Linked DNA regions of Tamandua tetradactyla. The protein of the gene in region 3 purifies or fractionates together with the protein of the main gene of each other region. This does not show direct contact. Links are inferred from orthologs where the notes say so. Each region holds a gene or a part of one and is shown on either strand. Other genes may lie near its edges. The genes, in order: PFDN2, DNAAF10, PPP1CA and YLPM1.

What was found.
Region 1: the proteins of PPP1CA (region 3) and PFDN2 purify together in Homo sapiens (affinity purification with mass spectrometry; 3 studies listed by BioGRID and IntAct, with this or other methods). This does not show direct contact. The link is inferred for Tamandua tetradactyla from reciprocal best matches to the Homo sapiens genes PPP1CA and PFDN2.
Region 2: the proteins of PPP1CA (region 3) and DNAAF10 purify together in Homo sapiens (affinity purification with mass spectrometry; 6 studies listed by BioGRID and IntAct, counting the BioPlex papers as one, with this or other methods). This does not show direct contact. The link is inferred for Tamandua tetradactyla from reciprocal best matches to the Homo sapiens genes PPP1CA and DNAAF10.
Region 4: the proteins of PPP1CA (region 3) and YLPM1 purify together in Homo sapiens (affinity purification with mass spectrometry; 3 studies listed by BioGRID and IntAct, counting the BioPlex papers as one, with this or other methods). This does not show direct contact. The link is inferred for Tamandua tetradactyla from reciprocal best matches to the Homo sapiens genes PPP1CA and YLPM1.

What each region holds. Positions count from the first base shown.
Region 1 is NC_135330.1:14,265,215-14,272,194, forward strand, and holds the start of PFDN2 (prefoldin subunit 2), read right to left. Parts: upstream 3,002-6,980; 5' UTR 2,969-3,001; coding exon 2,894-2,968; intron 1-2,893. Other genes in the region: NIT1 (deaminated glutathione amidase), read left to right, coding at 3,099-3,151, 3,713-3,808, 4,171-4,425, 4,532-4,635, 4,854-4,987, 5,132-5,257, 5,518-5,784. UniProt on the Homo sapiens protein: Binds specifically to cytosolic chaperonin (c-CPN) and transfers target proteins to it. Binds to nascent polypeptide chain and promotes folding in an environment in which there are many competing pathways for nonnative proteins.
Region 2 is NC_135343.1:41,450,563-41,457,918, forward strand, and holds the start of DNAAF10 (dynein axonemal assembly factor 10), read right to left. Parts: upstream 3,013-7,356; 5' UTR 2,678-3,012; coding exon 2,495-2,677; intron 1-2,494. Other genes in the region: RNA-binding protein PNO1, read left to right, coding at 3,193-3,387, 3,623-3,772. UniProt on the Homo sapiens protein: Key assembly factor specifically required for the stability of axonemal dynein heavy chains in cytoplasm.
Region 3 is NC_135335.1:6,994,225-7,002,059, forward strand, and holds the start of PPP1CA (serine/threonine-protein phosphatase PP1-alpha catalytic subunit), read left to right. Parts: upstream 1-4,824; 5' UTR 4,825-4,902; coding exon 4,903-4,957; intron 4,958-5,454; coding exon 5,455-5,586; intron 5,587-5,744; coding exon 5,745-5,975; intron 5,976-6,516; exon of another isoform or gene 6,517-6,615; coding exon 6,616-6,720; exon of another isoform or gene 6,721-7,142; coding exon 7,143-7,366; exon of another isoform or gene 7,367-7,450; coding exon 7,451-7,585; exon of another isoform or gene 7,586-7,662; coding exon 7,663-7,773; 3' UTR 7,774-7,835. Other genes in the region: TBC1D10C (carabin), read right to left, coding at 791-980, 1,133-1,198, 1,765-1,879, 2,077-2,183, 2,267-2,374, 2,560-2,659, 3,401-3,552. UniProt on the Homo sapiens protein: Protein phosphatase that associates with over 200 regulatory proteins to form highly specific holoenzymes which dephosphorylate hundreds of biological targets.
Region 4 is NC_135338.1:33,830,445-33,837,732, reverse strand, and holds the start of YLPM1 (YLP motif-containing protein 1), read right to left. Parts: upstream 3,021-7,288; 5' UTR 2,829-3,020; coding exon 1,965-2,828; intron 1-1,964. UniProt on the Homo sapiens protein: Plays a role in the reduction of telomerase activity during differentiation of embryonic stem cells by binding to the core promoter of TERT and controlling its down-regulation.

The DNA.
Region 1 (6,980 bases), on a different chromosome or scaffold from region 3:
AAGAGGGGAAAACTCTCAAAAGACATACCCCCAAATGGTAAGAATAGTTATATTCAGACAGTAGGATTATGAGCAACTTATTTCCTTTTCCTTTCTTTATATTTATTCTTATATTTTCTACTATGGACATGTTTTATATTATGTAATAGGGCAAAAAGATCAACAGTATAACATATATCCTTCTCTGGGTCCTTCACTGCTTACCATATATTCCCAAGTTTTTTGCCATGCATTCCAAGTCTTCTAAGACCTCCGCCCAACTTACTTCTTTAGTATTAAGGAGCACATGTGTTTCTAATTTATACCTTGTGATTTAGCAAAAGTGACCAGTGGTAATTCATGTCAATTGACTTTTTACCCCAACTCTCCTAAATCCTCTGAAATGCAAATGTCAGGAGGATAATATAACCTACTTCAAATGGCAACATTAAATAACAGAAGATAAAACAAGTGAAGTGCCTAGCACAATGTATTACTTGCTTTCATTTTGTTTGTAAGGGACATGTGGCTCAAACTTGCTGTAGAAATAAATCTATTTTTTACCCAGTATTCTCACTGGAACAAAGACAGAGAATGTTAACAAGGAGCAGCTTCAGAACTCAACATCACAACTCCTCAGTCTCCACTGAGAAATAAACTCATCTTTTCCCCCAAACTTGTCTGTCCTTTTACATTCCCTATTACATTACTATCCAACAAAGACATCTTGAGAGACAGCTAAAAAACAAAGATAATCAAGTAGCATTTATTGAGCACATATTATGTTCTAATCACTGTTCAAGGATACTTTATGTGCATCGTCTTACATAGTTTGCAAAATACAGGGATAAGGTAGGTACTATTATTATGTTTTTACAGATGGGGAAGACTAAGAAGTAACTCATTGGTGGTCATATCTATAGTAAAGAGTAGAAATGGGATTCAAACTCAGGTCTGTCTGACCCAGTGCACTTGTTTTTATGCTCTTAGCTATACCCACCATACCAAAGTTCCCTTTCCCACCTACCTCCCAAATTCCACAACCTCCTGCTTAGTCATGGGTTCCTCCCCTAGATGTCCCAAAAGACGGACTGTGTGGCACACTGTAAATTTGTACTGTTCAGTTTGTCTTTTCTCATTTGAGAAAACAAGGACTATTTTGTTTATGTTTCCCTGCACCCAGCAAAATTCCTGGCACATCAGAGTCCCTCAAAATATATTAGGTTTTTTGCACACCGATATTCAAGGTGGCATTATTCACAATTGCCAAAATATGGAAGCAATCCAAGTGTCCATCAATTGATGAATGAATAAATAAAATGCGGTATATTATATATAATGGAACATTATCCAGCAGTAAAAAGGAATGAAGTCCTGATACATGTGACAACATGGATGAACCTTGAAGACATCATGTTGAGTGAAATAAGCCAGATACAAAAAGACAAATATTGTATGATCTCACTGTTTTGAAACAATTAGAATAAGCAAAGTCATAGAGTCAGAATCTAGAATATAGGTTACCAGGGATGGGTGGGGATAGGGAATAGGAAGTTAAGGCTTAAAATGTACAGGGTTCCTACTTGAAATGATGGAAATGTTTTGGTAATGGATGGTGGTGATGGTAGCAGAACATTGTGAATGCAATTAACAGCAATGAAATACATATCCTAATGTGATTAAAAGGGGAAACGTTAGATTGCACATATGTTACCAGTAAAAATTTAAAACAAAAATCCATGGAATTACACTACACAGTGAACCCTGAGTTAAACTATGGACTTTAATAGTATAATTATTAAAACCTGCTATTATCCATTGTAATATATGTTCCACACCAGTGCAAGGTGTCCACGGTGGGGTGGTGTATGGGAATTCTTTATTTCATGCCAACTTTTCTGTAAACCCATAATTTCTCTCATTAAAAAAAAAGTATTTCATTCCTTCTTCCCTTTCTCTTTTCCCCTCCCCCAAATCCCACAGCACTTTACACCTCTCTTCAGACATTGGTCTTCTGTCTCATATAACTTTTGCATGTTTTATTTTCCTTGCCAGGCTATGAGTTCTTGGATGGCAGGAGCAGTTATAAAAATCTTTATACAGACATCTTTGCCTGTTGTACACCGTCAACAAATAACTAATGAATGAACTTGTACTTAAAATAGCCAAGTTTAAATTGCAACCTTATGCCTTTGATTAATTCATTCTATAGTGTGCACGTTGTTGTTTGTTTTCATTTCTACTGTGAATGTTTCTTCTCATACTGATTAAACACTAGTTCCACTATTATCAAACTACAGTTCCTAGTTACAGAAGGCTCTCTGGCTAATTTATCAAACATTTCCCAATGTTAGGTACTGGGAGAAATGCAAATTCCTATCAGAAAGGGTTTCTGGTCTATCAGGAAATTCAATCTAGTAAAGACTCCAGAATCAAAATAGTATTGAACACTAAACTGTTCGAATATGTGTCACGTGGCTCTGCAGAGTGACGGCGACTGTCAACGTGGTTCCAGGGTCACAAAACAGACTACGAAAGCAGCCCGTTAACTAAGCTCCTGCGATTCGTTATGACTGCCTTGCCCGACCATACCCTGTTTGGGGGTGCAAAGGAGAGGTGGGGCAATTCCTTGACGACCTATCTTCCCTCAGATCTGTACATCCTCCCAGGCCCTACAAACCAGGGCTTTCCCTTACTCCGGTTTTACCTACCATCCCAGACAATGTCGAGCTTTCACCAAGCCACCCGCCCACTCTCTCCTCCGGAGCTCACCTAGCTTCTCCAAGGACCCTCCCCTCTTTGAGTGGCCATGAGGATTGGAGCAAAGGCCTGTACAAGCAACAGACCCCTCCCTTTCGCGCACTGACTCCGGGCTCTGCGGGAGATACTCTTCTTGGCATTCCCGGATTCTCACCTGCTCAGCGGACACCGCCCCCTTCCCGGCGCCGGTCCCGCAGCTCTTGCCGGAACGACCGCTGTTGTCCGCCATCTTCGCCGCCTGCCGGTTTCCGGCCTGCGCAGTTCAGCCTCCGTCTGACGCCACATCCGGTCTCGATGTTACCGCCCACTCGTCCCTGGCTTCTCTAGCTCTTGGCGGCTCTTCGGTTCGGCTCTTGCGAATGGTTTTGGCCGTATCTTCATGTAGGACCTACTCCCCATCCTGCCGGCCGCGGTGAATTCCACCTGCGGTGCTTTAACTTGTGTAACAGAGACGCTGTCCCCTGGCAGAGGCGGGAAAGGAGTGGCTGTCTGGAGGCTGGGAGCGCGGATTGGGATACGGGTTCTTGTGCCCTCTGCCCCCGTGGGGTGGCCGAGGACAGGGGAGGGTGAATTTTCCCCTAGATTGTCCCGGTGTAAGGGGGGCAAATATACTTTAAGCCAATAAAGCTGTGCAGATGCAGAATCAAGAAGAGAGGCCTGGGAAAACCAAGAAAGTTTCCCGGAGGTGACTTTTGAACTGTGGAGACGTTTAGCACGGGAAAAGGGTTCAATTTAATGTTAGATCACTGGAAGACTGGAAGTCGAGATATTCAGGCACTGAACAGCTTTCCGTCCTCTATCTTCCCACCTTATGATCTCTTCCTGTAGCCCATAATTACTTAAAGTGTGTTTTGGAGACTTATTTTTACTGGCAGGACCCTGATCCACCTCGCAGTATGAAGAGAAGTTAGAAAACTCTAGGAAGTTATTGCTTGAGGGTGGGGTTGGTGTCCTGATTTCTCACCTTTCTCAGGTTGGGCTTCATCATCAGGCCTAACCAGCTCCTGTCCCTTCTTCTGTGTCCTGGACTCCGGATACCTCGACTCTCAGTACTTTGTACCCAGCCCAGGTAACAAGTTTTGTTGTGTTCTGATTGTCTAACATATTGAAAAATGCTTGTTATATGAATGGTTGGTGGGAGACAGTGGTGTGCCAGCCATCCACAGAACATTTGCTTGGCAAGCCCCACTAGGCCTAAGTCAGTGTATCCTCTAAGAGCAGATTCAAAAGGAAATTAGGGTGGGCCACGGTGGCTCAGCAGGCACAGTTCTTGCTTGCCATGCTGGAGACTCGGGTTCGATTCCTGGTGCCTGCCCATACATTAAAAAAAAAGGAAATTAGCTTTCCTGACTCCCCATTTGAGTCCCTTATCCTTAAACTAGGGTTTCCTCATACTGAGAAATTTGATAATCCTGCCTGTGTCATTCACAGGCCCAGAGCCATGGCCATCTCCTCTTCCTCCTGGGAACTGCCTCTGGTGGCTGTGTGTCAGGTAACATCAACACCAGACAAGCAACAGAACTTTAAAATGTGTGCTGAGCTGGTTCGAGAGGCTGCCAGACTGGGTGCTTGCCTGGCTTTCCTGCCTGAGGCATTTGACTTCATTGCACGGGACCCTGCAGAGACACTACGCCTGTCTGAGCCACTGGGTGGGAACCTTGTGGGAGAATATACCCAGCTTGCCAGGTATCAGGGAAAGGGGGAGGGAGAGGTAAAATCATTGGGCAGTGTTCCTGGTTTAGGTTAAGAGGATAGAGCCTTGAGAGAGTTTTCAATGTCCCCCTCTCTCCAGGGAATGTGGACTCTGGCTGTCCTTGGGTGGTTTTCATGAGCGTGGCCAAGACTGGGAGCAGACTCAGAAAATCTACAATTGTCATGTGCTTCTGAACAACAAGGGTGAGACTTTACAACTGTTTAGCCTACCTTTCCCAGGCTCGTCTTCCTAAACTCAAGTCCCTAGAATTGTGTGTCTCAACAGTGCTTCCTTGGCCTAGGGTTTTAGAGGTGTTTGTACTTCTGTTTCTAGTCTATAAGTCATCTCCTCTTGGGAGGGGAGGAGCTAAACTGGGCTCCTAGCACATCAGCACTGAGTATCCTTCTCCCTCTTACTCTAGGGTCAGTGGTAGCCACTTACAGAAAGACACATCTGTGTGATGTAGAGATTCCAGGGCAGGGGCCCATGCATGAGAGTAACTCTACCACACCTGGACCCAGCCTTGAGTCACCTATCAGTACACCAGCAGGCAAGGTGGGAGTTGTGAAAGGATGAGGGTGGGAGAGGCACAAGAGGGAGGGGAATAGAAATATTTTGAAGTGGGTGGTAGTAGAGGATATAAAGCTCTAAGGAAAGGGGCAAGGCAAGGGGGCTTAAGCAGGTTACTTTCTATTACAGATTGGTCTAGCTATCTGCTATGACCTGCGGTTCCCTGAACTCTCCCTGGCATTGGCTCAGGCTGGAGCAGAAATACTTACCTACCCTTCAGCTTTTGGATCTGTTACAGGCCCAGCCCACTGGGAGGTAAGAGGACACCTCTTTGAAACTTAAGGGCCTTTCCTTAACCTTCTCTTCCCCTTCCTACTTGGTAGGAAGTCATTTCCTAGATTGTTGCCTGGCTCTCATGTGTTACAAAATAGTAAACATAGTAAACCATTCCTTGGCAATAATCAGAATGGTAACAGTGGGTACATCATACACTTGGTCTGTAACATCCATCTCCTGTCACTTCTTCATTAGCAACTGCATGTAGTTAAGTAAACACACATCTCCTCATCCTCCAGGTGCTGCTGCGAGCCCGTGCCATTGAAACCCAGTGCTATGTAGTGGCAGCAGCACAATGTGGGCGCCACCATGAGACAAGATCAAGTTATGGCCACAGCATGGTGGTGGATCCCTGGGGAACAGTGGTGGCACGCTGCTCTGAGGGGCCAGGTCTCTGTCTTGCCCGAATTGACCTCAACTATCTGCGACAGTTACGCCAACACCTGCCTGTCTTCCAGCACCGCAGGCCTGACCTCTATGGCAATCTGGGTCACCCATCATCTTAAGCCTTTTGACTTTTGTGAGTTGAGACTCCCATTATGAGCTGGTAGTGCCATGACTTTTGAGCAGGACCCAGGTGCAGCTCCCCTCACTCGGAGAACCTTGACTCTTGATGGGACACAGGCTCAGCTTCTTGGGAAAGAAGAAACTTTCACCTGAGCTCAGATTTCAGTTTCAGAAAGGTGGAATTTTATATAGCCACTGTTTATTTCATGAAAACTGGAGTAACTCTGAGGGCTGAGCAGCACTGGCATTGAGAAAAATATAATAATCATAAAGTCTGTGTTTGGATATCTCCTTTGGAAATTGCAAAGGGAGGTGGTATTGCATCTGCTGGTCTAGGCTCCAGTTCTAGGTTTCCTGGCTCATTCAGCATGCCTCCCTATGTAAATAAAAGTGCAACACTCAGTGCATGTCCCAGCCCCATTCTCCCAAGGGGTTAGAGAATGGGGAAGAAAAAAGAAAAGAGTTGATACTGAATTACTTCACTTGGTGATGCCCTTTGCCCAAGCCAGAAGAAAGCAAAGGGGAAAAGGGCTGCAGGGTACATTATTTATTTTTACTTGAACATGGGAGGAAAATGTCACACTCCCCCTTCCCCTTTTTAGGGGGAGTGTACCTTTTCGACTCAGCAACGTCTTCTCCACCTATCCTGTGTATGTATGTGTGAACACACACACACACTACAGTTGGAAGAGTGACTAGGCTGACCCAGTTCTCTCTTACCTATTACTCTCTTAAAGAGGATTTTCTAAACGGGGAAAAAATGAGCCACACCAGGCAAAGTTTTCAAGCCATGAATGGAGGAAAGGAGGCAGAGAGGAGCAGCACCAGATGCCAGGAGAGACTGGAAAGGGCCACAGCTTCTTTGTTTTATAAAAATTCTGTAATTTGGGAGAGGATGGTGATTAATTTCCAAATACACTTGAGACCCACCTTCCACATAGCTCCCTTACTCACAGCCCTTTGGTTTTGCAGACAAAATTTAAGAGCCCTCATAAAGCCAGAAGTATTGATAACCCCTCATTGCACCCAAAAGCAGTGTTCACGTCAATCTCTTATGAAGACTCTGTTCTATAGACTTTTCTTTTCCCTACACATTTGTCTTACGGCTCAGTGGTAAGGTAGCTGTAGAGACACAAATTAGGGGTATTTGGAAAAGGGAAACAAAGGGGAAGCCCAAGCACACGGGTGCAGGGAG
Region 2 (7,356 bases), on a different chromosome or scaffold from region 3:
ACCCTCTTACCAACAAGAAAAGGAAGATGTCAATAAAAGACTGATGGCTTTCTTCACGTTTTTATCTCTTATTCATGGGCCTTTGAGCAAATGATTGGAGGAAGTTCCTCAATAATCAAATCAAGTATGTTTCATACTATATTTATAAAATATTCATTGATCCCAATGGTTTTCACCTCTGGTACTCATTAAAATCCCTTGGGAGGAGCTTAAAAAAGACTGACGTCCAGGCCTCCATCTAGTCTAGATTCACTGAGGCAGAATTTCTAGGAGGGGCGGGGACCAAGGCATGAAAACTTTAAAATACAAAAACCACAGCAACAAAACACGTTCAGGTGGGCCTGATGTGCAGTGAGGGTCGAGAATCACCGAGACTGTATTTCACCCATATTCTTTTCCATTGGACTAACATGCCAAATTCAACGTAAGTTCTTAGCTGTGTTTTTGTTATGTTTTACCATCTTTTGAGCCTCTAGGCTCCTTAGAGGAAGGGGGTCATCTTTCAAATACCTTTGGTCGTTCCTTAGAACTAACTGTGTCTTGGATTAGCAGATTCTCTATGGATAGTTTATGGTAGAAAAAAAGACCTCTAAGGATACAGGTGAAATTTAAAAGTGGCTATTTTTGTGGTTGAGATTGTGGGTAACATTAAATTTCTGCTTAATCCTATCTATATTTTCTAAATATCCTATCACGAACATATTTTACTCTTGTTATAAAGCAAGCTTGCTAAAAAACAAACAAAACAAATTTGCTAGAATTCTCTACAATCTCTACAAAAAAGAAAGAGCGGTATTTCAATCTATGAGTAAGTGTATTTCTGAAATGTGTACAAATTTTCTTATTGAAAAGCAGAAGTCTGCAGATTCTCTGTGGTTCAGCTTCAACTGGCATCTGTTCCTAAAACTTCAGCTTTATGTTTTTCTCTGCTATTCCAATGCTTCCCATTTGTTCAACCCCGAACAATATTTAATAAACCAATATTGGAAATTTCCCAAGTTATATCCTATTTACAGACATACATTCACTCATTCTTTTAACAAATATTTATTGAGTGGCTACCTCTTACAAACCACACTTAAGAAGACACTGACCTTACTCCTTAGGAGCTTACAATCTAGAGATAAAAAGGACAGAACATATATTCCTGGCACACATAAAACGTACTTTAGGAAAACAACAAAAAGGAAAGTTCATTCGTGTGACGCTCAGGAAAAGTTTCCTTTTAAGTCATGTAATCGGAATTGAATGTTACAATAGCAACAGGTGACTGAAGACCAAATGGTAAACAACATAAGCAAAGGTGGAAAAGTACAGGCCATGCCTAGGCATTCTAAATAGACTGCCTGGCTTGAGAAGACAAACTGAACAATAACACAGGCAATTACAGAAATTTAACGTGGATGGAGCCTTATATATCTTCTAATCTAACCTTGCCTATCTAAATTGTGTTCATACTTTAATATAGGTTGAACCCCCATCTCTTCCAAGTATCCATGGAGTTCTCAATCTTTACTGCCTTTGTATAGAACCCTAACCACCTGATTATACCTGATCACTTTTTTCAGGCAATCCAAATCGTCATTTTTTAATTTGCAAAGAGTGATAAAAATTTGTTATCCACCATTATTCTCTAATTCTTTCACTAGTATTCATTACAAAACATATGAATCTGATTTTGCCACATTCTGCTTGATGTCCCATTTCTCTTAAGAGTAAAGGCATAAATCCTTTAAATGGCCTATAAATATTGCAAGGTCTGGTCCCTGCGACCTTCTTTTGCTTCTTAAAACTCTCTCCCACCACTGGGCTTCTGTTTCTTCTGAAAACCTCCTTTTCCACTCCCAGTTTGGCCTATTAACAACTTCTACTTGTCCCAAATCTGTTTTTACTTTCATAAAACCGTTGCATTTTATGCATCTTTGATTATTTAACCGATTATCACCCTCACTAGAAAAGAAACTCCATGAGATCGAGGACCTTGCTAATCACTTGCCGGCGGATACCAGATAATCAATTAATACTTGTTGAAAGAATGAATAGATGTGTTAGGTTGAATGCTTCAACTACTGTAGGCTTCCTGGGGGAAGGGGCCGCTGTGGCTATGCTTGTATGAAAAAGCAATATACTAACAAGGGCTTCGCAACGGACTCTCCAGAACAACTGCCAAATGCCCCTTAAGGCCTCGAACTTATACAAGAATTCCTAACTTCGCTTCCCAGAGGCCTCGCGCTGGACTGCGCCGAGGGTGCTGGAAGAAGGGGCCTGCAGGGCGCGGATGAAATGGCCCGCGGATGAGAATTCAGGACTCGAACGAAAGAATTTTAACACTGAAGCATTCCTCAGTCTGCGGTTAGCTTCGCAAGTCCCGCGCAGCTCGAGCTGTATTTTGGGGGGACGCTGGACGAAGGCTTTAAGCAAAGAGGGATGCAGACCTCAGGATCGGCACTCGCCCCCCAAGGGCAGACCTGGGCAGTCTCCACCCGGCACCCACCTCCCGAAGCAGCTTCAGGTCTCCGTGCTGGATCTCGTACAGCTGAATGACGCCGGTACCCCGTGGGAAGTTGCCCAGCGTCACAAATTTGGCGCTGCAGGGCACCCATTTACAGTCAAACACCGTGTAGTTGAGGCTTTTCTGGATGTGAGAGATGATCTGAGGCTTCTCAAAGGCCGACATGGCCGAGCAGATTTCACTTACAGCAACGGCCACCCCCGACTCTTAAGAAAAAACTAACCTGGCTGGCAGACGCCAAACTTAACTAGTTTGTCCCCCCCCGCTTGCCGTACCTCGCTCCCTAACGTCCTAGGAAGTTGGATTTAGTTATCCAACAAAATGCCAGATGTGCTACCGAGATCACACAAGATTCTCTTTCACCAACGGCATTAACTTGTTTATCGTCGTTACTTACTGACGTTCGCACATATACATATTAGATACTACAAGGTATTTTGGCTGTAGGTTATGCAGCAGTAGTGTGGGCATTAAGAATTAGGCATATTTTAGGATAGGTCCTTCAAAAAAAAATACCGCTTCAGGTCCTCTACGTGGGCCTTCTTAAGGCAGGGGGTGGAGCCTTAGGCCTGGTCGGCAGTGGCTGGATCCTCGGAGGTACGCCTGCGCAGTGGGGCGGCGCACGTGTTTCAACTGGAACAGCCTGCCTGCCCTGCACATATCTGAGGGTGGAAACCAAGATGGAGGCACAGAGCGCTGGGGTGGAGAATGGCTTCACCCAGGTCACCCGCAAGAGTGGCCGGCGGGTGAAGAAACGACAGGCTGAGCAGCTTTCTGTGGCGGAGGACGGCGGGGACCCGGGACGCATGGACACAGAGGAGTCCCGGCCCGCGAAGAGGCCCGTCTTCCCGCCCCTCTCTGGGGACGGGCTCCTGGTACTGGAGGGGGCTGTGGGACTGGAGCGAGGCTGCGGCCAGTGGCCGGTGAAGCCGGTGGCCTGTGGGTGATGTTGAAGCTGCGGGGGCTCTTCTGGTGTGAGAGCTCCTCGTAGAGAAATGACTGCCGAAGTTTAACTCGTTCGGTTAAAAGATTTTTGTGAATCATCTGTCATTTTACAACTCCATTCTCACCCTCCAGACGACTCCTGAGTTGTGTGTTCTTTCATTGTAGGGTGGAAAAGAAGAAACTAGGAAAATTCCAGTACCAGCTAACAGATATACGCCGTTAAAAGAAAACTGGATGAAGATATTTACGCCTGTTGTAGAGCATTTGGGACTTCAGATACGCTTTAATTTGAAATCGAGGAATGTAGAAATCAGGGTAAGGAGAATGTCAATTATTTACAAATAGACTAGGGTTTCTCCTACAGGAATCAAGGATGAATAGACTTTTCTTAATAGAACTTACTTTAAGTGGTTTTCCTCTAGTTTTAATATTTTTATTGAGAAATATCCATACACATATAGGCCAACCGTATTATGCAATATATGATATATAGTTGTGTATTCATTACCATGGTCATTTTTAGAACATTTGCATCACTCCAAAAAAAGAAATAAAAACATAAGATAGCTCCTACATCCTGTACCCCTTACCTCTCCCTCTCTTTGACCCACAGTATTTCAGTGTACCCAGTTTTTACCCTTTAACTACCCGTAGTTGTTTATTTTTATCCTTATTTTTTTACTCATCTGTCCATACCCTGGATAAAAGGAGCGTCACACGCAAGGCTTTTACAATTACACAGTCACATGGTAAAAGTTATGTAGTTATACAGTCTTCTCCAAGAATCAAGGCTACTGAAACACTGTTCAACAATTTCAGATACTTCTCTCTAACCACTTGAATACACCATGAACTAGAAGGGGTATCTGTATAATGCATAAGAATAACCTCCAGGATAACCTCTCAACTCTGCTTGAAATCTCTTAGCCTCTGAGATTTTATTTTGTCTCGTTTCACTCTTCCCCCTTTTGGTCAAGAAGCCTTTCTCATTCTATTGATGCTGGATCCTTGCTCATCCCTGGAAGTCAGGTCCCGTGTTGCCAGGGAGATTTACATCCCTGGGAATTATGTCCCACATAGCGGGGAGGACATTGAGTTCACCTGCCGAATTGACTTAGGTATAATTCTCAGTAGGCTTAGCTTCTCCTTTGCAGAAATAAGCTTCATAGGGGCAAGCCCTAAGATTGAGAGCTCAGCTTATTGAATTATTTGTCTCCACTGCAGAAATTCCCCAGAGGGGGATGTTAAGTATTTCCTGCTTTCTCCCCAATACTTTTTTTTTTTTTTGCATGGGCAGGCACCAGGAATTGAACCCAGGTCTCCAGCTTGTCTATAGGTGAGGACTGTGCCTGCTGAGCCACAGTGGCCTGTTCTGCAAATACTTTTTTATTCTCTGCCCAATTTACTCTGGGATATATCCAGGTATCACACTAACCTGTGCAAACCAGCAAGATCTTCCAACACCCTATTCAAGATTCCATGTAATTATGGTGTTCAAGTAAACTGACCATAAAATTTTAATTAGTTGATATGCTACCCAAAACACAAATTTTGTACCAAATAAAAATCTCTCCCTTTGGTCTCACACAGAGGTTGAAATTTGAAAATATGGGCCATATCATCCTTTACCCAGTATTCTGTTTACCTTAGTCCTATCCAGATCAGCTTCATTCGTATCTCTAGACAAAGTCTGATCTCTTTTTTCACAGTTGCCGAATGGGGTAATGACTTTCATAACTTCAGTGCTCTCTCTCTCAGGTATCACATAAATACCCAGAGTTTCAGGGTATGACCAGGTTATATACAAATAGCTCAGTATCTGAAAATTTAAAAATATCAGTTACAGCTCCGAAATACATGTGACTGCTTTAAGAGTTTACAATCTAGGAACCTTTGCAATAGGCCCCAACCTGATAATCTGTGCTCTCAACTTCAGTTCTCTGTATTTGTTCATCCGTAAGAGTGAGGCATGATAATATTTGCCTTTTTGTTTCTGACATTTTATTTGACATACTGTCCTTAAGATTCATTCACCTAGTTGCATGCCTCACAACTTCATTTCTTCTTGCAGCGCTCAGTAGTCCTCAGTTGTCTGTTGTATATAAACACCACAGTCCATCCTTCCATTCCTCATTTGTTGTATCCTTAGGCCATCTCCATGCATCACAAATGCCGAACACTGCCTCCATAAACACCAGTGTGCAAATGTCCATCCATGTCCCCACACTCAGTTTCTCTAAGATCATATAGCAACCCCACCCCTAGCCTCCTATGAAACCATCACACTGCCCTCCAAAAAAGCTGCACTTCTCAGCTTCCCTACCAGCGGTGAAGAGGTACATTTCTTTGTCCACATTTTCTCTAGCACTTGTTTTTCTCTGTTCATTTTTAAACAATTTTATTTGCACATCATACAATCCAGTCTAAGTAGATAGACATGCCTTTGCCACCATAATCTATATGAAGACATTTCCTTTTTGTTGCCACAGAATCCGTACTCCACCCCTATGCCCCTCACTGTTGACATTTAGTTTTGGCGTAATGCCTTTCTTACATTCAGTGAAAGCTTATTACAGTGTTACCGTTAACTATAGATCGTAGCTTGAATTGATTGTACCTTTTCTTATATATCATCCATTTTCAACCCTTGGCAATGATATTCATTTGTTCTCCCTGATTGTGCATATGTTTTATAGTATTGAATTGAGTTGAGAAAGGGCTGTGAGGAGAGGGTAGTCCTGAGCAAAAATATGTGAATAACATACATTGGTATAAGCAGTCATTTAGGTACTGGATGCATCAGTTTAGGCACTATATAAATGCTGTTTTCTTGGAAATAAAATGTATTCTCTTGAGAATAAATATAAATAAACATATGTTCATTCTATGGTGTCAGTCCAAGAGTTAGGCATTTAAAATTAATTGACTCTGGGCCTCTTTTTCTGGGTACCTATTTTGTATCAGAATTGATGACCAAAATTAATTATATCTTCTTTTTTGAGGATTCTTATGCCTTCATTATGATTAGTATAGACTTGTTCTAGTTTGCTAGCTGCCGGAATGCCATATGCCAGAGACAGGATGGCTTTTAAAAAGGGAAATTTAATAAGTTGCTAGTTTACAGTTCTAAGGCCGAGAAAATGTCCAATTAAAACAAGTCTATAGAATGTCCAGTCAAAGGCATCCAGGGAAAGATACCTTGGTTCAAGAAGGCCAATGAAGTTCAGGGCTTCTCTCTCAGCTGGAAGGGCACATGGTGAACATGGCATCATCTGCTAGCTTTCTCTCCTGGCTTCCTGTTTCATGAAGCTACCCGGGAGGCATTTTCCTTCTTCATCTCCAAAGGTCGTTGGCTGGTGGACTCTCTGCTTCATGGTGCTGCAGCATTCTCTGCTCTTTCTGAATCTCTCATTCTCCAAAATATTTCCTCTTTTATAGGACTCCAGTAAACCAATCAAGACCCACCCAAATGGGTGGAGACATGTCATCCCCTAATCTAGTTTAACAACCATTCTTGACTAAATCACATCATCCAGTGAGATGATCTGATTACAGTTTCAAACATACCATGTTGAATAGAGATTATTCTACCTTTACGAAATGATATTTTGATTAGAACATGGCTTTTCTAGGGGGCATACTTCCTTTCAAATCAGCAGAAGACTCATCTCTCTTGATAGACTATGATGAGGGAACAAAACAGAGAGACACCACTCTAAATAGTTGGTAAAGTTTAAAATGTTGTGAAACTTGACATAATGACTATTTGTTCCCATAGCTGCTCTCAGGTTTTTATTGTTTCTTGCCAACACTTCTTGTGTCCTTATTTCCTTTGCTTTGTTGCTTGGTCTCTTTTTCCTCAAATCCATACTCTATACCAGTGCCGGATTAATTTTCCC
Region 3 (7,835 bases):
AGCCAGCTGCCCTCTCCCTGAGGGAAAGCCCTGGAGCCGATTGGGCACCCAACAGCTACTCAATAAATTCACCTATGGTTCGCCACCATTTTTGAGGTGCTGCCACCCCACATTGCTTGAAGAACATGAAGAGGTCCTTGTGCAGGCGGAAGCCCCTGAGAATTCAGCCCAGCTTGGCCCGGCTCCCCTCCCCTTCTTGGCTTATCCCATCCCCCATCCCCCTCTCTCCACACCCCATCCTCCAGCATCTTTCCCCTGCAGTCCCCGCCACGCGCGCAGTCAGCCCCAGCTTGCAGGGCAGCACCTGGCACCCCCGAGCATGGGGCATATGGCTGGGGGGAAGTGCCACTGCGGTGCCCGTGGGCCGGCCTCGCCCCAGGCCCTGGGCCTCTGCACCTGCTGTGCCCCCCAGCTCCTGCCCATCTGCCTCTGTGGAAGCCCCCCTTGGTGCTGGTCCTCCAGGATTCGTCTTACCACTCCCTGTGTTTTCCCATCCCCTACCAGGGGGTTCCTAGGGACAGGCCCTGGGCCCCTGCGCCTGCTCCCCCCAGGGCCAGGCACCCTGTCCAGCACAGAGGGGAGGCAGCAAACAAATGCGCCAACTGCATGTGCTGTGGCCGCCGCCATCACCCTCACCTCATCACAGCCGGGCCCCAGGAGGGCCTCTCAGGTGCTGGGGTCTGCCCGGGCAGAGCAGAGCGCATTCAGGGCCGGCCAGCTGAGCTCCCCGGGGCAGGGTCCCCGCTCCCCCCCTCCCCCACCCAAGGCTCCAGCCCTGGCGCCCACTCACCTTCACTGAGGAAGGCGTCCCAGACACGCAGCACGGTGGGGAAGGGCAGGGAGCGGGCGAAGAGGCACAGGAACCACTCGGGCAGGTAGAGCAGGGGCCCGACGCCCACCTGCTGCAGGTGCCTATGCACGCGCGGAAGCAGCCGCCGCAGCAGCGCCGCAAACACCTCGGCATCCAGCCGCACGGCCTCCTGCGCCCACAGCCATCAGCCTCTCCCCACCCGGCGCCCCACCCGCTCCCCACCCCTCTCCCAAACCCCAGGCTTCAGCCCTCCTCAGGCGGCTCCCCCCGCCAGCGCCCACCCCATCCCCGCTCACAGGGGCCCCCATCCCAGCCTCTCACCATGTGGGGTCCATAGTAGCCAGGGAGGTAGACCTCACAGATCTGTACCAGGCACCAAAAGGCCTCCTGGGGGGTGGGGGGTGGGCAAGGCACAGGCCCGTGAGTGCCCCCCACAGAGGGGCAGGCAGGGCAGGACCCAGGAGCCTGGGAAGCAGCTGGGGTGACTCTGGGGTCCCTCTCAGAGCCTCTGCCCTGGGCCCAGTCGGGGGCCTGGTGGTGGGTTTACGGAGCCGAGAGTTATATGGCTCGGGATGGTGAATTGGGGAGGGGGGGGTCACAGGATTGAAGCTCACTGGTCAATGGTTGGGAGCATCCCAAAGTTCAAGGCCTGGGGTTCCTGGAGTCATTCGGGTCAGAGGTCATGGTGGCAGGGTTCAGAATCGGGAGTTGTGAGCTTAAGGGGATAAAGTCAAGGGCCCCCCACGTTTCTGGGATCAAGGTCATTGGGGTTGAATGCCACTGAAGGTGGCAATCATGAGACCCCGGGTCACTGAGACAGGGACTGGGGGTCAGAGTCCCTAGGGTTGGGGGCTATGGGTGCAGAGCTCAGAATCATGGTGGGGGACACCTGGGCCACTGGGGCTCCGGGGTCAGGGTCTCGGGTCCCTGGAACAAGGTCAAGGGTCACTCACCTCTGGGGGCAGGTGCATGAGTAGCACGGCGGCCACGGGTCCCTGGGCCTGGCAGTAGCCCTGTTCTGGCCGATACAGGGTGTAGGCCTTGAGAACCTGCTGGAGCCCCTGCTGCCTGTGCCAGAAGACCCCGTTAGGGGCCAGTCCCCCAGGGTGTCCCTTGCCCACCCTCTAGTGACCTCTGTGCTAGGCCTCAGCCTTCCTGGCTCCCCTGAGATAAAAGGATGTGAAGCTGGGCGAGGGGGAGGAGGGCTGGGCCAGAGGACCTGGGGCTGGGGGCCTGGGGGTCCCTGGCCATCACCAGCCTCGTACCCATGACCTTGAGGTGACACAAACATCTCGTGCAGAGGGAACTGGCGGTGCAGGTCCCTGCCAATGGTCTCCATCCACTGTGGGTCTCCGGGGGCCGAGGCCAGCTCCTGTCAGGGGGAGGCGGGGGTCACGGCTAGAAATGGCAAAGGGCTCTGGGAAGGGGAGGCAGGAACCCTGCCCACTCGCTCACCTGATAGGTACCGGGGCTGTTCTGTTTACACACGTGGGCCCCACACAGCAGGGGCCAGCAGCGCGCCCGCAGGGCTGAGGGGATACCTTTCCGGCACTGCATCTTTACCTGCAGGTGAGGCCGGGGCAACCTTAGCCAACCTCACCAGCCTTACCTGCTGCCCTTGGCCGGCCCCCAGCAGGCCGTGCCCCCAGGCAGGGAGCAAAAGCAGCATCTGCGGGGGCTGGAGGGATGGGTGGCCCTTGTCAGGGGCTGGCTCCAGGCCGAGGGGAATGGGCCACCCTCCCCCTCACCTTCTTGTACCGGCGAGACATGGTTTTCTCCCAGTGTGACGTCATCTCCACCCACTTCATCTCCCGCTGGCGGATAAGGTCTGCAGGGGCCTGACCTGGGCTGGGGACACATGCATAGGTAGCCAGGTGTCGGGCAGCTGTTTCCTAGGACCCACTCCTGCGAACCGCCCCCCATGCTCCCACCTGAGCCCAGCTCCTGCTCCTGCCGATGACCTGTAACCAAGAGCTGGCAATGTTGTCATGGGGATGGGAAAGGATGTGGCCTCTGATATGGGCGGAAGCAAGAGAGACTGAGGGGTGTGCATGGGGGGAGGGGTTGGCTGGCTATTCCCCCTCAACCACCCTGCCCAGGACAGGGACACAGATAACTCATAGGGAAAGCTGGCTGGTCCAGCATCCTGGACTGGCAGCCAGGGATTCAGAGTTTGACTCTGGTTCCGTCTCTGATCTGCTTGGACAAGTTCCTACCTGTCTCTGGCTCTGTTTTCCTGTCTGCACTTTTGGGGAGGGGCTAGGTGTTGTGGGTTCTATGGTTTGGATCTGGGATTCCTGGGCTAGAGACTAAAAAGGGAAGGCTGTTCAGCCGCAGGAGAGGGTGCAAACCCTTGGAGGTTTGGGAGTACAAGAGACATTTGGAACAAATCCCTCCTCCCCCAACACACACCCCCCCCCCAGCCTTTTCCACCTTAAAGTTTCACCTGAAGGAGAGAAGAGAGGTGATCTGGCTCAGTGTCTAGCTCAGTCCCTACTGCCACACCCTCCCAGACCTTTGAACACCTCACTTTGGAATCCAGACCCCATCCTCAGTCCCGGCTTCCCCACCCCACTCCATCCCACTTACCCAAGGTCCGCTGAGCTGCCCCCAATGAAGCCATAGCGGTCAGCCTGGCGATACGGGCCGGGTCCACTTAGCTCAGAGTCGGACCCCAAAGAGCTGGAGTCATCCTGCAGCTCGGAAGGCTGCACCAGGTCCTGCCCCAGGGCCTGGGCCATGGTGCCCCCGACTGTGATGCCACAGGTTCAGGCTGTAAGACATGGGGGAGAGCCAGTCTAAGGGGTGGCCGCTGGCCAGCCTGGGGCCTGGGCTCCCATCAGTTCCTAGCCCCAGAGCCAAAATGTGGGGTTGGAGCCGGCAGGTTTCAGAGCATCCCGCCAAGCCCCGGACATCCCCTCTTCTTTTGAGGGAGGGAAGGCCCTGACGTGGCAGAAAAGCCTGACCTCTGTATGGAGCCCCAGGCCCAGCCCCTCTCCCCGGCAGCCCGGGCTCCCCACCCGGCCATACCTGACCCTCCTCCTCTCACTTCCTCCTCAGCCACAGCTACAGCAAACCGGCTCCGGGCCCCTCCCAAGGTGTGGGGGGGAGGTGTCACCCCTTCCTCTCTGAGGCTCTTCCTGTCAGCCCCTGGGCCGGCCGTGGGCTCCTCCCTCCCTCCCCGTGGGCTGGGTGGGTTCCTGGGTGGGGTGTGATTGGCCAGGGTCTGCCAGAGGCAGAGGCCAGGCTGCCTCCACTTTTGAGGTTCCTGGTATGTAAGACACCCAAGTCAGGGCTCCAATAAGAATTCTGGTTTACTTAATGTTTGATATTCAGGGGGGAAGCCTTTTAACAGGCACACATACAGCATATTGTGCTTCTCACGTGGTAACTGTGGGACCCATAAAGATTTTTGCATGCACAGAGGCCGGGAGGACCTGACTATGGCTTGGAGTTCAGGAACAGGTGTCCTTGGACCCCACAAAGACTCAGAAGGATGAGGGCCTCCGCGAACGTGAGTCCCCCGTGTTGGGCCAGCCCCTTGCTAACTCTGAGCCTCAGTTTCCTTTTCCGGAAACTTTGAGGATTTAACCCGCAGTGTTTTAGGAGGCGGTCTGGGCTGGGGTTCCTCGCGGTTATTCACGCGCTCATACCACCCTCCGCCTAGAGCAGGGTTGATGAAGGCTGACGAGTCTCTGCAAGAGAAAAACAACTTCCACAGCGTTTCCGGTCCCTTAACCTCGGAGCGCGTCTGGGCGACTCTTTGTGGGCGGGGCCTGGCCCCGCCCACACGAACCCCGCCCCGAGCACCTCAGCAAGATCCCGCCCTAGTCGCGCCAAGCCCCGCCTCGCCCCCAGAGGCCCCGCCCCCGGGCTACCGCGGCCTGTGCGCCTCCTGCCCAGCAGAGGCGCTAGAGCGTGGGGTCGGGGCACAGGGCGGAGGCGGGCCTGGGGGGCGGGCCCGGGCGACGGGGGGCGGGGGCGGGGGCGGGTCCGGGCGGGCGGAAGGAGAGCCAGGCCGGAAGGAGGCGGCGGGAGGGCGGGAGGCAGCTGCGGGCTCGGAGCTGTAGGGCCGGAGCGGCGGCGCCGCCATGTCCGACAGCGAGAAGCTCAACTTGGACTCTATCATCGGGCGCCTGCTGGAAGGTTGGCTGAGGCCGGGGAGGGCCGCGCCCGCCGCGCCCTGGCCCGCTGCCCAGCCCGGAAGTGGCGCGCGGGCGGGCCTGCCCCTCCCGGGGCCAGTGGAGACTGGGCGGGGACGGGCCGCGAGGTCCAGCCGCCTCCCCCACCCCTGTCGCGGGCTCCCTGAGGGGTCTGGGGTCCGATCGGGCACGCGAAGCAGCCCTCTCTCCCGGGAGCGCACACGGTGGCCTGGGGCTCCTAGAGTGAGGGAGAGCCCTGAGAATCCCAGCCCGGGAAAGGGGTTCTGCGATATTAGGTTTTGAGTGGGGGGACCCCAGCGCACCCTTTTCTCGAGGGCCTTGTTTTGGGGGGCATGAGACAGGTCCTGGTCGAGGAGGGGTGTCGGGAGAGACCCAGACGAATACAGAGGTTCCCCTGGGGCGGTCGCCTGTATATCGCCACCCTCTGGCTCCCCAGGACCTCAGAGGCCGGGGTCCTGACGCCCCATTCCGCATTCCCAGTGCAAGGCTCGCGGCCTGGAAAGAATGTGCAGCTGACAGAGAATGAGATCCGTGGTCTGTGCCTCAAATCCCGGGAGATTTTCCTGAGCCAGCCCATTCTTCTGGAGTTAGAGGCACCCCTCAAGATCTGCGGTGAGTTCCCTGCCCCAGCCCCCTTGGGCTTCCTGAAAATGGCATTACCCACCCCACACCCCTCCACCACCCCCACTCCAAGTTCATGGATTCCTCCTCCCTTGAGGAAGCCAGTCCAGGCACTGCACCTGGTGCTGACCGGATTCCCTGGGTCCCAGGTGACATCCATGGTCAGTACTACGACCTTCTGCGGCTGTTTGAGTACGGCGGCTTCCCACCGGAGAGCAACTACCTCTTCCTGGGGGACTACGTGGACCGGGGCAAGCAGTCATTGGAGACTATCTGCCTGCTGCTGGCCTATAAGATCAAGTACCCTGAGAACTTCTTCCTGCTTCGTGGGAACCACGAGTGTGCCAGCATCAACCGCATCTACGGCTTCTACGATGAGTGTGAGTGGTCCCGGGGTGTGGTGGCTGCTCGACTCCTGAAGGGCTCATCCCTGTTCTGTGGGACCCTCCTGTTGGCCTGGCATTAGCCATATCAGTGTCTGGCAGGTACCTGCTAGACTGAGCTTGCAGGGCCGGGTTCAGTTCATTTCTGGCTGCCCCGCCCTCCTGGCATGGGGCCTGGCACTTGGAAGGGTTTGGTGAATGGATGCTGACTGGAGGGCTGCCCATATTCTTAATGCTTTTCCTCAAGGCCCTGCCTGGTGACTCCCCCACCCCCAGGACATCCGCTGCTTAAGCACTTAGGGTGTCGAGCTGGGCTGGGATCTGCTGGCCAGAAGAGAAATGGAGATAGGCCAGACCCCACCTTGGCCTGCTCATGGGTTGGGGCAGGTGTGTGTGTGGGGGGGTGCGTGTGTGTGCCAACTCTACGGATCCTGTTGGGTTCCTGTGGACTGAGATGCTTTGAATTCCATCTTGGAAGGTGGTCCACAGTGCGGGTGGGGTGGGAGGGCGAGCCCTCCCCGCCTTCCACTCTCTTCCCTCAGCTGTGTCTGACCAGCCTGCAAAGCGCCTCAGAGAACCAGGCTGCGGGTGGGGCGGGCAGCCTCCTCACAGGCCGGCATCTCCCTCCTCTGGGCAGGCAAGAGACGCTACAACATTAAACTATGGAAAACCTTCACCGACTGCTTCAACTGCCTGCCTATCGCGGCCATAGTGGACGAGAAGATCTTCTGCTGCCATGGAGGTGAGAGGGCCTCCTTGGAAGCTAAAAGCCCCAGCCACATCCCCGGGGCCCTGGAATAAAGTTCCGTTAGCTGTCTTGGGGGTTAGATGCCTTCTCTTGAGGAAGCTGTACTGCCACACCCCCGCCATTAGGCAGTTTCTTGTGGTGCTCAGCATTCTGCTCTCAAGGAGTTCATCTTTCTTCCAAGCGCTGTGTTCCTTGAGGGCAGGGGCTTCTCTGGCTGGTTTGCCTCTGTGCTCAGGGCCTCAGACATGCAGAGGGAAGGAGGGCCAGCTCTGGCTGCCTGAGCCCCCACGGGTCCAGGAGAGGGGCCAGATGGTGGTGGTAGGAAGAGTGAGGCTGGTTGGCAAAGGCTCCCTCGGAGAGGGGGTCTGGTTTTGAGGCTTGTTTGAGGAGTTGACTGTCCTCCCTGTACCCCGCAGGCCTGTCCCCGGACCTGCAGTCCATGGAACAGATTCGGCGGATCATGCGGCCCACAGATGTGCCTGACCAGGGTCTGCTGTGCGATCTGCTGTGGTCGGACCCTGACAAGGATGTGCAGGGCTGGGGCGAGAACGACCGTGGGGTCTCCTTTACTTTTGGGGCTGAGGTGGTGGCTAAGTTCCTGCATAAGCATGACTTGGACCTCATCTGCCGGGCGCACCAGGTGGGCTGGCCTCTCTGGGTGGGGCAGGGAGTGGGGGCTGGGTAGGGCCGCACAGGCTGGGCTGACCACGCCCATCCTTGCCAGGTGGTAGAAGATGGCTACGAGTTCTTTGCCAAGCGGCAGCTGGTGACACTTTTCTCAGCTCCCAACTACTGTGGCGAGTTTGACAACGCAGGTGCCATGATGAGCGTGGATGAGACCCTCATGTGCTCCTTCCAGGTGGGTGCAGGGGAAGAAGGGACCAAGGGTCCTGGGCCTCAGCCCAGTGAGCCTTACCAGCTATGTCTGTTTTCTAGATCCTCAAGCCCGCTGACAAGAACAAGGGGAAATACGGGCAGTTCAGTGGCCTGAACCCAGGGGGCCGGCCCATCACTCCACCACGTAATTCCGCCAAAGCCAAGAAGTAGCCGCCCCGGGCCTGCCCCTCTGCCCCAGATGATGGATTGATTGTATAGAAATCACGCTGCCA
Region 4 (7,288 bases), on a different chromosome or scaffold from region 3:
GTTAACTTTTAAGAGATTGGCATTGGCATAAAAAATATTTATCACAACATATAAAAATATTCTAAGTTTAGAACATGACAACACTTGTACCTATGTCAATAAATCTCTGTGGCACTGTCCTAGGTGCTACAGGGGATAAAAAGATGAGCCAGACAGTCCCTGTGTGTAAGGGACTTAGAATCCGAACAACAGAACAAAACCAAATCAGTAAGTACACTTGTGGCTTCACGGAGACCTTGATATTTGAGGTGTGCCTTGAGGAGATCTACTACAAGGAGGGAGAGGGAGGGTAGATAAAGCTGGGATGAATCCTAGATGGAGGAAGGAGAGCCTAAACAAGCTTACAAGGCCCTTCTTGACCTAGCGCATGCAGACCTCTCAAGCCTCATCTTCCACCAATGTCTTTCCAGCTCTCACCAAAGAATTGGAGGCACTGGGTACTCAAGTAAAAAGAAATTTACTATGGACAAGGATTCAAAGGCAGAAAAGCAAAAGCAGCATTTGTAGTCAGATTAAGGATCATACTGATACTGTTGTCCCCTCTCCTCCATAAAAAGTCAAAACAAACAATCCCAGAAATCTAATTAATTTGTCACTCTAAAGGGTTAGAAACAGTCCAGTAGAGAAGAGGATATAAAATCTCATATTTTGGATTGGACTAAGGTATCTGACAACAAAAACACTGGAAATTCCGCGGGGGGGTGGGGGGAAGGAGCCAGAAATTTTGTCTATATAACAGAGAAATCTGGAGGAAACAACCTGGAGGCATGGTACTAATTCGGCATAAACCAACAGAATCAGATACTTACTGCTTTATTCCGGCACCACAAGTGTTTTCTCCTGATGGTGTGCCAAGCATCATTCCTTAAAACAACTTGCCTCTGTTCTTAATTTCTAATACCAAAGCACTGTAAAATTAGAATACTACATCCTTATCTTTTGTAAATATTTTATATGCGAATCTGGGCTTATTGAAAAGACTATTCACTAATAAAAAATAGTGTATTTAGGTTAGTAATTGCTAAAAGTGTCTTTTTAAAGAAATAATAACACATCGTTTTTCCCCTTTAGTTCTACCTTCTCAATGGAGGAATTCATTTATTATCTCTACCCTGTCAATTTTGATCATTCTGTGGGAAGCATCACTTCAAACAGAGAGAGAAATGGATCTCTTACTACTAAGATTCTAATGAAGAGACATCAACTTTTTTTTTTTTTTTTTTATCTTGGTCTAATTCCAAGGCTGCTACTTTGGAGTTAATGGGAGCAACCATGAAATGCAGCAAAGTGGTCATGTCTTAAAACTATCTTCAAGTGATGTGAGGAAAGGATGTATGGGTCAGTTCCTTAAATGGACCAAGAGCCCCCCCAAAAAGGATCAAGTGTCTAGAGAGACATCTATGTATTGATAGGGCAAGCACATTTGGGGAATAAACTATAAAACTTTCACATGTATCTATAAGCATAATTAGGATGCCTCTAATAAGACATTCATCTTTCATTTGCTGAGGCCTCCTTTTTTGGAAGCTGAGAGCTATCAGTGTATCCTAAAAAGAAAAATTTTTTTTAAAGTTAACTGGGTCATAAGGTTTACATGCATTTCAAGTGTCAGCCCTTTGAGAAGCTTCTTTATGTGGCCTCTCAAAAGGAACTTTTAGCTTAAAATACAATTTTAAAACAAGGCCCTCTGCAACAAATTTAGGAAGGAGACTCAAAATATATCTGAGAACTTGAGCCATTCCACTATTCTGTGGTGTCTAGTAACATCTTTAAACAAGGTTCTTTCTGTAATCCACATTTACCTAATTTAAAAGCGGGGTGGAAGGCTCTAGGAGGATCTTTTAGAGTGTAAATTAGCTTGTCATTGTGTATTGGAATTAGGCTAAGCACTGGTTAAAGTCCTGAGGCCTGATCACTTACGGCCCTCTAGGAGAAAGAAGCGGTTCAAACAGAAGCTTTCTTACCTGTGGAGTCATCGTAGAGGGATCTGGCTCCGGGGTAGCTTGCTGCTGTTCAGAACTCTTGTTCTTGGCCCCACTCTCCAAAGACTCTTGCTGGGCAGTGGTCTTATTCCCAGAAGGGGCAGACGGTGGTGGTGGAGCTAGCAGTTGGGATTTAGAATGACCCTGCGTGGGGCGGGAAGGCGATGCCTGAGACGGGGGCAAGTAGGACTGGGAATGGCTCAAATAGGATTGCGAGGAGGAGGAGGAAGAGTAAGATGGGGTGGGCGCCAAGTATGACTGGGACGGTGGGGACTGAGAAGGGGACGGCTGAGCGGCAGGCAGATAGGGCTGGGACGAGGACGGGGGATAGTACGAGGGTGGCGGCTGAGGTGGGGGCATGTAAGATTGAGATGGGGGCATGTAGGACCCCGGCGGCACAGGCGGAGATTCAGGAGGAGAATCCAGCTCCATGGGAACCAAACCAGGAGGCCCGTCTCGTTGGTGGTGGAGCATCTGGTGTTTGTACTGCTGCTGCTTCTGATAGCTGAGGGCCGGCGCGGGCGGCGGGGGCATCGGCGGTGGCTGCCAGTCCCCGTAGCCGCCCCCCGGCATCACCGGTGGGGGCGGCAGGGGGGGCGGGGGAAGGTGGTGGGGCTGGAGCACGCACTGCATTTGCTTCTGATGCATCTGCTGCAACTGCTGGAGCTGCGCCAGGTGCTGCTCGCGGAAGCTCATGAAGCCGGAGGACGTGGGGGCCGCGGGAGTCGTCGAGCTCGAAAACCCGGGGCCCGGCGAGGCCTCAGGAAGCGCCACCGGAGGCGGAGGCGGGACCGGCGGCGGCGGATAGTGGCTGCTCCCGCCATACCGGCCCCAATTCGGGTACATATCGGAGAAGAAGGCGCAGGGCTCGTCCTGGCGCCGTTACTCGTCGCAACCGACCTCCAGGAGCTGCGGCGGCGGCGACAGCCGGAACTCGCGGCACGTATAGGCCCTAGAGCGTGTAAACGGAGCGCGCCAGTGCGCCGGCGCTACGGAGCAGGGCCCGCGACCGGGAAGGCGGGGACGGGCCTGAGGCTGCTACGCCTGCGCAGTAGCCGCCAAGAGGAGAACAAAGGCGAGCTAGAGCGGCCTTTTGCTTGACGACTTTCGGTTGCCACCTTCCTTAGGGTTCTGGTAATGCAGGCTCGAGTAGAATGTTCTCATAGAACAGAGGAACCATAGAGTCTCACAGCTGAAACGCGTTGGTAGAGATCCTATCGCTCCACGGATTCATTTTTGAATGAAAAAAAAAAAGAGGCTCCATTCACAATAGCAACAATCGCAACAACAACAGAAAAACCATAAAAACAACTAGAAATAATTCTAATTAATTCGAATTATTTCTATATGAAGAAAACTACCGAACATTCATATCAAAGAGGGATAAAATTAGGCTTGAAATAATGGACAGGCTTACCATGGTTGTGAATGAAAAGAGGGAAAATAGTAAAGATGTCAATTCTTCTCAAATTAAAAATTAATAGACAAAGTGATATTGCCATGTTAAAGGTGAACATCATTATTGAAAGGGACTGTATTAGAGCCAGGTATCCCACGGATTAACACTACAGAAATAAGTTCTTGCATGAATTACTTAAAAGGTATGAATCTCTTTTTTTCCCCACAATCACACAGTCACATTGCGAAAGCTATATCACTATACAATCATGTTCAAGAAACATGGCTACTGGAACACAGCTCTACATTTTCAGGCAGTTCCCTCCAGCCTCTCCATTACACCTTAACTAAAAAGGTGATACCTATTTAATGTGTAAGAATAACCTCCAGGATAACCTCTCGACTCTGTTTGGAATCTCTCAGCTATTGACACTTTATTTTGTCTCATTTCACTCTTCCCCCTTTTGGTGGAGAAGGTTTTCTCAATCCCTTGATGCTGAGTCCCAGCTCATTCTAGGATTTCTGTCCCACGGTGCCAGGAGGTCCACACCCCTGGGAGTCATGTTCCACGTAGAGAGAGGGAGGGCAATGAATTTGCTTGTTGTGTTGACTGAGAGAGAGAGAGAGAAGCCATATCTGAGCAACTGAAGAGGTTCTCTTGGGGGTGACTCATAGGCCTAATTTTAAGTAGGCTTAGCCTATCCTTTGTGGGGTTAAGTTTCATATGAACAAGGTATGAATCTTATACAGTGTTTATAATATGGGGTAAAGAGGGAAAACTATTGCATTCTACGGCTATGTTTAACAAGAAGACAGCAACAGTACCACAGCAATACCAGGGGTAAATAATTGGGGGCGGGGGATGGGGAGGACAAGAGTTATGGGGTTTGGATTTTCTGTTTGGTGATGGTGTGTTTATTGATTATTATTCTCTGGGGAGCAATGAAAATTGTCTAAAATTGAGAGTGTTGATTATACCACTAAATGAGGATAATGTGAGACATGGGTTGATGACTTTGGATCTTATACATGATGCCCAGTGGATTAAGGTGGCTAAAGGATACACTGAGTGGTAGAATGGTAAACTGTGGTGTATACATATGTTCAAATATTGAGCTGCTACAGAAAGGAATGAAGTCGTGAAGTATGCAATGATGTGATTGAACCTGTGGGGCATTATGTAATGCAAAATAAGCCAGAAACAAAACTGCAACTATTGTATGATCTCATTTAGAAAATACTTATAAGAAAATTGAGACTAGATTGTAAACTCTGATAGCAGTCACATTTAATCCAGAGCTGCAATTGTTATTTCTAGATTTTGAAAGACTGTGCTATATATGTATAACCAACTTTGAGTACCTGTGTGACATGTAAGACCCAGAGTAGGAGGTCTGCAGGTCTGAAAGTCAGCATTGCCACATACAACTGTTAAAGAAACTGAAAAAGATCAGGCTTCAGTTAGAGATAAGAACGAAGCTGATCACATTGGGACTAAGTTAAATCAGAATAAGGGATAAGGATGACATTGTCTGTATTTTAAAACTTCACCTACTCTGAGACCAAAGGAAGAGAGGTTTATTTTGTCCAAAATCTAAATTTTCTGTAGCACATACTCTAACTCGTCTGGATAGAGCATTTTAACAACCCAAACACATGGAGCCCAGAATGGGAATGAGAGCATGTAATTCTAAATAGCTTAATGTATTGCCCGGACACATCCCAGAGTATGTTGAGCAGATAAGTAAAAAAGTATTGGCAAAGTCCCTTGAAGCATGGAAGAAAAAATATGGAACTATTAAACTTTATCACCGGGGAAATCCTTGATACTGTCTCGAACATTGGGGACTCCCAAGACGATATGCCAAGTCCTTGATCTTGAGGCTTGCTCTTGTGAAGCTTACTTATGTATTTATAGGAGAAGCTAAGCCTATCTATAGTTATGCCCAAGAGTTACTTCCAAAGAACCTGTTTTGTTGCTCAGATGTGGCCTCTCTTTCTCTCTAAGCCCAACTCTGCAAGTTAGATCATTACCCTCCCCACTACATAGGTCATGACATAGAGGGGTGAAAATCTCTGTGGCAACGTGGGATATGATTCCTAGGGATGAGCCCGGCCGTGGTACCATGGGATCGACAATGCCTTTCTGACCAAAAGGGGGGAAAGAATTGTAACAAATAAGGTATGGGTGACTGAGAGTTCAAACAGTCAAGAGGCTACTCTGGAGGCTACTCTAGATATTACTAGGTATTATGGTTTTGCAAATTCCAACCAAAACCATTGCTGTCAACCCTAAAGAACATGTAGGGCTTTATCTGAGACTCTACAAAGGTTCCATGCACTATGATTACTTTCGAACCTCCAGATGGGTTCCTAGACCTGATAAATCCTGAAACCCAGAAGGGCTAGCCTCTCCAAAATATCAAATAGTTCCATCCTCCATCCCATATTATCAACAGCTTTTTCCAACATGAAAAAGCTAGAATGGGCATAGCTTAAATACCCCTAAAGACTGGGAGAAAAATTAAAGAAGGTCGAGTTATAACAGAGAAGATAGTATTTAACAAATGAGTATGACTGCTGAATCATTATATATATATATAATATATATGTTATATTTCACAATAAAAAATGAATAGACAACACAATTCTAACCCAGAAAATCAAACTGAAAACAAATCTGTGAAAGAATGGAGACCTATTTTGAAGACGATGTAATACTCCGCACCAATTCCTGCAGGCATATAAAAAGTGACAGCTACAGGAATAAGAGGGGAAATGGAATTCTTTAGAATATCTCAAAACATTTTTTTTAAAAACCCATGTTGGAGAACCTCAAAGCGAAAGTAAAGATAGCAAAAACCAGATACAAAGATTGTCTAGAATAGATGACCTAGAAGATAATTCTTGCAAAAATTTCTCAGTATAGTACTAAACATAAGCTCCTTCTGTGGTTTGAGTGAATCACTAAGAAACAAAGTTAATCCACACTGGATTCTAACTCTGAGACTATAAAGTGTGTCTGTTGTGCACTCCATAAAAAGACCTTGACCTTCCTTCCATTTTAGTAACCCAGATCCTCACCTCTTAGGAAGTGGATATGAGTGCAGAGTGGTGCATACAGGTATACTTCAGAAGCATGAGTTTCATTCTCAAATAGGCATTTAGTTCTGTTCCTTTTTTAACTTTTTATTGAAGTATAACATATATACTAAAAATGATATTAAGTGTAAAGTTTAGTGAATTTCCGCATACCAATCATGCTGTGTACCCAGCACCCAGGTCAAGGAACAGAAAGTTACTCAACCCAGAAACCTCAGTTAATTGTGTTGTTAATATTTTTCATTGGAATTCTCTTTTGAAAAATATAAAAATAAATGTAATTCACTATAGTAATAGATTAAAGGGGAAGATAATGTGATCATTTTACTAGATGGAGGAAAATAATTCGATACACATCAATATCAATATTTTTTAAAAATCTTAGCACACTAGAAATGAAAAGGAACTTCCTTAATCTAATGAAGAGTATCTATTAAGCATCTATTGTAAACACCACACTTAATGGTGAAAGTTGAAAGCTTCACTGACATCAAGAGCCAAATTCCCACTGTCTTCACATCTATTCAGCATTGTACCACAGGCCCTGTTTGCGCAATAAGGCAAGGAAAAAAAAAGATATAAATATTGGAAAAGAAGAAACAAAACTATTATTATTCATGTATGATACTATGTACATAGAAAATTCAGAATAATTACAGATACATTTTAAGAATAAGATTGCTGGATATAAAATCAATATACAAATCAATATATGTACCTATATACAATTTTTATATACCTTTCATTAAGGAAGTGAAAAAGGGAAGTCACAGAGTAGAAGGAAATATTTTGTAACATGTTTAACC